2 linked regions of the Tribolium castaneum genome follow. The protein of the gene in region 2 interacts with the protein of the main gene of each other region in a biochemical or structural test. Links are inferred from orthologs where the notes say so. Each region holds a gene or a part of one and is shown on either strand. Other genes may lie near its edges.

The links.
Region 1: the proteins of ImpL2 (region 2) and LIRP-like form a complex in vitro, tested with the Drosophila melanogaster proteins (2 studies listed by BioGRID, with this or other methods). The link is inferred for Tribolium castaneum from reciprocal best matches to the Drosophila melanogaster genes ImpL2 and Ilp2.

What each region holds. Positions count from the first base shown.
Region 1 is NC_087402.1:11,374,292-11,377,231, forward strand, and holds LIRP-like, read left to right. Parts: upstream 1-1,699; 5' UTR 1,700-1,817; coding exon 1,818-1,853; intron 1,854-1,899; coding exon 1,900-2,083; intron 2,084-2,130; coding exon 2,131-2,339; 3' UTR 2,340-2,413; downstream 2,414-2,940. Other genes in the region: uncharacterized protein LOC103312864, read left to right, coding at 2,546-2,605, 2,651-2,806, 2,855-2,940. UniProt on the Drosophila melanogaster protein: Possible ligand of InR/insulin-like receptor. Plays a role in regulating body size by increasing cell size and cell number of individual organs.
Region 2 is NC_087401.1:8,464,763-8,469,347, forward strand, and holds ImpL2 (ecdysone-inducible gene L2), read right to left. Parts: upstream 3,101-4,585; 5' UTR 2,295-3,100; coding exon of another isoform or gene 2,226-2,294; coding exon 2,034-2,225; intron 1,603-2,033; coding exon 1,422-1,602; intron 946-1,421; coding exon 614-945; intron 568-613; coding exon of another isoform or gene 559-567; coding exon 547-558; 3' UTR 342-546; downstream 1-341. UniProt on the Drosophila melanogaster protein: Essential developmental role during embryogenesis, in particular the normal development of the nervous system. May be involved in some aspect of cell adhesion.

The sequences.
Region 1 (2,940 bases), on a different chromosome or scaffold from region 2:
TTATAAATATTTATTAATAATTGATCTGATGTGATGGACTGTATGTCATAAAATTTTAACGTTTTTAGGGCATTAGGTATTAAACCATTAAAATATTAATGTAAATAATTTTGCACAAAATTTATGGATACAAACTCTGTGTATCACCTATATACATGCTGACGTTTTGCAGCTTTTTTTGGTAGAGCTTGTTCAGTTTTTTTTTTTTGAAAAAGCAAATTTATTTTAAAATTCTCTTCATTAAATTCAAAAATAAAAAAAATCAAATAGGGTCAGCTTGAAAAAAGAACGCTTGCAGTTGCATTCGAAAAGTTAAAATATGAATTATTCTCTTAATAAAACTTGTATATTTTTTCAATCTATAAAAAATAAAAACATTAACAGTAGAGTATTTCTTACTGATTAGTGATTAATGATTTGGTACTCAAATTGCAAAAGGCTAAATGACTATTACCTACAACTTGAACTTTGGTTCTTAAAATGGTTAAAACCTTATTTTTCTAGTATTCTCAGTTTTTGTGTAATACATTTTTATAAAGAAGTAGAAACCTAGTATTAGAAACGACAAATAAAAGTTTCTGAAGATGTTTTATTAAAAAATACTTTAGTTTTGTATTGTAACTTTTTTTAGAAACTGAAAAAATTTATTAATTTTCGAGCCTTGGAATCTGATAAAAACAAATCAGTAAATATGTGTCTGCTTTTAATTTCATTCTTTTTATCAATTTTCTCTAAAATTTTAAACTATTCTTTGTTTTTATTTAGTTTATTTGTATGAAATACAACCCAATTTTGCAAATTTAATGATTTAAAAAAAACGTTTAGCAACTTACTTTTGTAATTTCATTATTGTATCAACGTTTGTTGAACTTGAACGATTATTTAGTGATCAAGTAAAAATAATGAACTGAAAGTTCGCTAATTAACACGAACACTTTTAAAACACTCGTTTTTTGAGCATTTGAGGGATTGTCCCTGGCAACTTTGAATTATCAACTAGTTAAAAATAGTATTAATTATTTTGTTGTTTAGATCCTCAAACCATTTTTTAAGGCCCTGGTTTTATTTAAATTAAGAGGTGAATTTTAATAGGTTATAAGTATAAACATAACAAGCTCAAAGAAAAATAAATTCTGTTTGAAGTTTTGTAATTTTCTTATTAGTTCCTTTTAGTGGAAATTCAATATGCGATATATTCTCTCATAGTAATTTCATTAATATGCACAAAATAGAGAGACAGAAAAGTTAACTAGAAGAGGATTTCTAGAACCTCTACAATCGAAGAAGATTATTTGATTTTTTGATTATTACCGTAATTTGATTTAGAATGGATTTTTTTCAAAAATTTATTGTACATCAAAAGTAGAACAATTACTCGTTGTTAATTTTTCAAATGTAGAATATTTAGGGCTGATTTACAGTACGTTTTAATCGTAATTAAATTTTAATTTCGCTTTCTGTATACCGACCCTTAATGTTTGAACATTATTTATTAGACATCAAAATTTTATTACATGATATTTTTCCGATAACAGTTTAATGACAACATGGAAAGTTCTTCGTAATATAATTTGTGATGATTGTATGTTATACCATAATTAATTCTCAGCAAACTAATTGACTTTTTATTCAGTCTTTGTTCACTATCTTAACCCACAACCCTTGTCTTTAGTGGCTTGGAAATAATTGTGTACCCATCTGTACTAAGGGGGTGTACATCGAACAAGACGTCTGACCTATATTTGCATAATTTTGTGTGATATTTTGGACTCTTCATGTAAACACTATTCCTATAAAAGCGAGAGTTTTGTCCGAAAATGATAGTTCGCAAACTACTTCCAGCAACTAATAAAGTAAGTTACTTGTTCCAAAACCCCAATAAAATACGTGTTTCAACAGATGGACAAACGAGTTCTGCTCTTCTTCTTCCTCATTAACATTATTTACGTCTGGTCTTCACCGCACATGGTCCACTTGATGAACAAACGCGAAATTTTCTGCGGCACAAAACTGGCCGAGACTTTAGCAATGCTCTGCAAAGGGAACTACTACTCTCCGAATCCAAACCCAACCAAAAAGTCGAGTAAGAATCGATTTTTTGTTATGTTGCGAGTAATAACACTTTTCCAGCCAATGATATTTTCGCCTACAACGAATACGACGAGTATTTCCCCAACGAGAGCGACGACGAAAATCAACTCGATTTTCCGTTCCTTCAAAAAGAAGCGGTCAATTCGTTTCTTCCAATCAGATTTCGGAGGACCAGAGTTGGGATTGTGGACGAATGTTGCCGGAAACCCTGCTCTCTCAAACACTTGAGTTTGTACTGTGGACAATAACTTAATAATAGTGCTCGTAGTTACGCTAAAAAATTATGATATTTTTTGTAAAAGAATAAACGATGTTGCATACACTTTGTAGTTTTATTCTTTTCGTTTTGAGTGATTTTTTTCCCAAGGTTGTTCAAAAATAGCCGCAGCTTCGCTGTTGTATCAGACATAAAATACCAAACCATCATGCGTTTAAAAATAAATTCGTTGTGACAATGTCGGCTTCCTGCAGTTGCTTGAAGTTGTGTTCAGTTGTGGTTGCTTTATCGAACCTTGTGAGTGCATTTTTTGTTTGATTAACCCTGGAATCGACTTTTCAGACCTTGGGCTTGTACATATTGGCCGAAGGAATTTTGCTGTTAACGAAATATTTAAACAACGATGCCGACGTGACGGTAGGTTTCGTCGTGGTGGATTTCCAAATGGCCTCGTTTCTTATTTTCGTTGGTCTGTTATTATTAATAGGTATCATAAAGGTTGGTTCATTTTGCGCGCGTTTCAACGCTCATTTTTCGATTTTTTAGGGGAAAGAGAAACATATTTCCTTGTATCTCTTGTTGAGTTCGCTGATTTGGTTTATTATAACTATGTTGGCGGTTAGTTACATGAT
Region 2 (4,585 bases):
TATTGCGACGCGAAAAATGCTAATTACCTACCTTTTATTTTCTTTATGAGGTGATCATTGCCGCAATCGAACCGTTACACGGAATATCAAGAATTTATCGTCAAACTCATTTTCATTTCGAACTGTCAAAGTTGTGACACCTGACATTTCAAAACTATCACAATTTAAAGACGGCCATGCACGAAAGGCATATGGTAAAGGCGAACATACGCGGCGTATTGCTGGTTGCCTACAACAATATGACGTCCAATGACGTCTGCCGACTTGATTAAGATTTCAGGAAATTTTATTGAGTTTATACAGTTAGGAAACAATAAATAAACGCTCGGGTGGGTTTAATGCTTGATATTTTCTTTATTTACTTACAAACCTTACAATAATATAAATAAGTACAGCGGTCTTGTAATTATTACACATATAAATACCTAACTCATAAATACTAGATGGAATTTCCATAAATAACGGCCACACTATCCTAGGAGTATTTTCAAATTGAACATTGACTAGATTGACATAAAGTGCGTTCGTTGCGCCCCCTGTGTTTCGTTATTTGGACTCCTGCAATCCCTAGTCAAATAATCACCAAAACCAAAAAAAAAAATCAAAATTGTACCTTCATGGGGTAAAGGAAGGTCTCAACGGAGTCTTGCCCAACCATGTTACGTGCCACACAAGTATAGACCCCCATATCAGCCCAACTGAGCGACCGAATGCTCAACGAGCCGTCAGGAAGGGCGCTCACACGAAGGTCATTTTCGCCAATTATCTGCCCTTGAGGGTCAATCCACATTTGGCTCGGCTTAGGATTGCCTAAAGTGCGACAAGGCAAAATCACATTCGTTCCAATCACGTCCATGTAGGTGGGGGCCCAAAGGGATATCCGGGGCACGTGGTGCGCCCCCAGGATTTTCGTAGTGAGCACTTGAGTAAAGTTGTGCTCGAAACCTAAAGCAGGCAACCAACGTTACACCATTTCCAGACTAAACTACGATTTAAACTTAGTTTAAATTTAAACCGAGTTTACGTAAGCTAAAGCTTAAGCTCGAACTAAGCAATTGCAAGTGTTGGGACCAAATTCCATGTCAACTGGCTGACTAAATTCTAGTAAAAAATATTTTAGAAAAATTGAAGCAGGCAACCAACATTGCACCTGATATTTTTTTAAATTTTTTTTCCAAAAAATGGATTCATAACTAACTAAAAAATTTATAAATGAGGCAAAGATGTGACTAAAGCCCCAGGATTAAATTTCATGACAATTCCACGATTATTTTTAATAATAAAAAATTAAATTACAAAAAAACGAAAAATTTATTTTCTCGCAAACTATCCGTCCGAGTATATTGAAATTTGCACACGGTAATGGCGAAGGCGTCCATAAGCTTATCTATTTTTTTTATAATTTTTTTATCTGTTTTTACCTTCTTTTTTGATCACGTAGATGGTGCTGTCTGCAGTTACTATTTTGGAGCCGCTTTCAGCGACACAAGTGAATCGGCCACTGTGGACGGGTAGGAGGTAGTTGATGACGAGACGAGCTTTGATTTTGCCGAGTCCTTCAGAAGGGGTTTCCGAAATCATGTTGCTTTCAAAGCTCTGGTGCTAGAAGGTAGGCAACCAATTATACACGTGCGAGGGTGGTTTTCAGTTAATTATTGATAGAGAGTAAACAATTATAATCCGGTTAATTCGCCCACGACATAATGTTTCGTGTTTGCGCTTTTGAATAATGAGGACTTTAAGTCAATAATAATACGCTGAATGTTTGGTTTTATCAATAAATAAATTAATGACGTTTATTTGAAGGTGACGCTTTGAAATTGTGTTTAATTTTAATTATCGTTTTAATAAAAAATGTCTGATAAGAGTTTAAACACAAACACTGAGATCAGAATTAAAGTGAGAAAAAAACAGTGGTGCCAACCGTAACATTAATTTTTCTCCGAAAAAATAATATTTACATTAAAAAATTTTTTCGCGTTTTTGGATTTTTTGTACAGTGTGCGTCAAAAGCAGCGCGATTTTTTGCATACCTCTGTAAGGGGGGTTTTTCCTCTTAGCCATTGTAGGGTGGGGGGCGGCGAGCCCATCGCCTCGCACTCGAGCTCGACGTAGGAGCCCACCGTTTTGCTGATAACGGGTTTAGGTGGAGCGCTTATCTTAATCCACTCGTCTTGGTCCCGATAAGCCATAGATCCGGACGCCACCGAAATCTCATTATCCATATCATCCGTCAGTCTTCTACAATTGGCCACTTGGAAAGCGACCAATAATACTGATAACAACACCTGGAACTGTCGGTCAAGTCAGAATCGAGCGTTCTGATTGGCTGGCAATGCGTCACGTGCGATTCCGGGAATGATCTATATGTATATACGTGCGCGGTTCTGGGAAGTACACGATTAATTAAACGCGTTGGCACGTGTGTAGACGCGGCATTTGTGAAAGAAGCTTTCCGAGAAAACGCCAGTTTTGATTAAAATAGGGGACGGAAAAACCGTCAAATCATCAAATTTTTACAATCGAAGGTGGCACTGGTGATTGATGACAACGCGGCCAAAAGTTATCACGTTTCACAACCTCAAAATGATAAAAAATTGTGAAAATTGTACAATGACACAAAAAACAACCACTGATACACTTTGACCCTCCTAATATTTATGCTATAAAAAAAAATCTAAACCAAACCATGCATTTTGGCATTTTTTTAAGATAATTGACGAAAATTTCCCAAGTCACATGCCACGATTAATTACTAATTAAGTAATTACGCTGCTTAGATTTCCAGAATTATGTGATGAATTGATGATTAATCACAACACGTGTTTCGCTTTATAATATGGAGGAGAAATTTCTGTGAAAAATTGCTACAAATATTTATTTTTACTACATAGTAAGAGATATCATTCGTTGACCTTACTTGTAGCAGTTGGCCATGAAAGTACTTTGATTACTCAAATTTTATGAGAATTATAGTAATGCTTGTTAATGAAAAAATCTTTGTGTTCCACACAGAAGGTCATGAAAATGTAAAGAGGTGAATAGTTTGTAGAGATTTTATCTAATCACCTAAACAAACATTTTCAAATTTTGATAAAACTATTACGGGGAAAAATTTGGACGAATATTTGTAGATTTCATTCATTTTTTCTCGTTCATTCAATATAATTTATAGATAATAGTTGGCCATGAAAACGTAAATCTTTAGATAAGAACAATTTTGTGAATGGGTTCTAGTTCCAACATTTATGTAATTTCACACATTTGTTTGCGCTTTTTTTCTCATTTTTGTGTGTTGGTAACTTACCAACTGCACAGCAGATGAAATAATATTTATTATTAATGAGTGCGCTTTATTACTGTGCCAAAAATTAAATGTTTCATATTTTGGGCATGAAAAAATTAAACGGTCTGTCTGTTTTTAAATAGGCGACAAGAGTAATTACGCCTTAATTTTGTTTCTCAAAAAATCTAATTTCTTAATTAAAAACATTTTAAAACAGAACTTTAGAGAAAATGGCAACAGCGTATTAGCGTTTTTGAAGTGAAATAGGGCACTGATTTGGACTTTATGACTTTATGACATTGACAAATTTCCTACGAAAAAATTCCAACAATTAAAAGAGAAAATGAATTGACTCAAATGAAGGTACAATGTGTTGTTAAATGATTGTCATCTAGTTAACTTTGAAATTGGTTTACATGTAAAAAAATTGTGCCGCTCTGTCAACAAATGTCAAATCTGTAAGTTGTGAGATTCAATTAATTTCCTTCAACAATTCTGTTAAAATACAACTAAATTGTTACACTGTCCAAGAAAACACTTTCAATATCGAAGCTTATTTCCGAATTCGAGATTTAATAAATGAAGAATGGTAATATTCAATGTCTAAATGATTTTACATGAGAAATTCACAGACGACTAGATGGGAATCATTTAAAAACACATTGTACTTTAAAATGGGAATCTGGCAACACTGCTTTTAGCCAAATGGAAAATAAGAAATATGAGTGTTTCCATAAAAACCAAAACACCAACCGACGGTTGGTATAATAAATATAATTTCATAATGCACTACTTTTAATCAAAAAACTAGAGTACACCTTGTATATTTTTTTTGAAATCTTGATTGAACTTAATGACATACTCTGTAGAAAAATTCGAGCTAAATGAAGTAATAATAATTAGAAATTACCTCCTTCAAGTGATATAAAGTTAAATAAATATCGAAAGTACGTAAGTATACCTGAAAAAGTTGAAAATGTCATTAATCGAGCTTTCTTCTCCTACTTAGCAATAAAAATACATTTGCCTTCAGTTCCAACATTTCTTTTAGATAAATCTTATCTTGAGATTTTACTTTATCATATTTCAATATTTAATATATAATTCAATCATATTTCAAAAAAACAAATGCATTTTTGCGTGGGCTCGTTGGTTTGTCGACACATTTTCAAAATTTTCAAATGTACTCAGTAAAAAGAAAATGGAAAATGTTGAAAATTGAGGAAAACTAGCCACATACATGTTTTTACTAAACTTTTTACAATAATTCATTTTTGTGTGGGCTTGAAATTATTGACA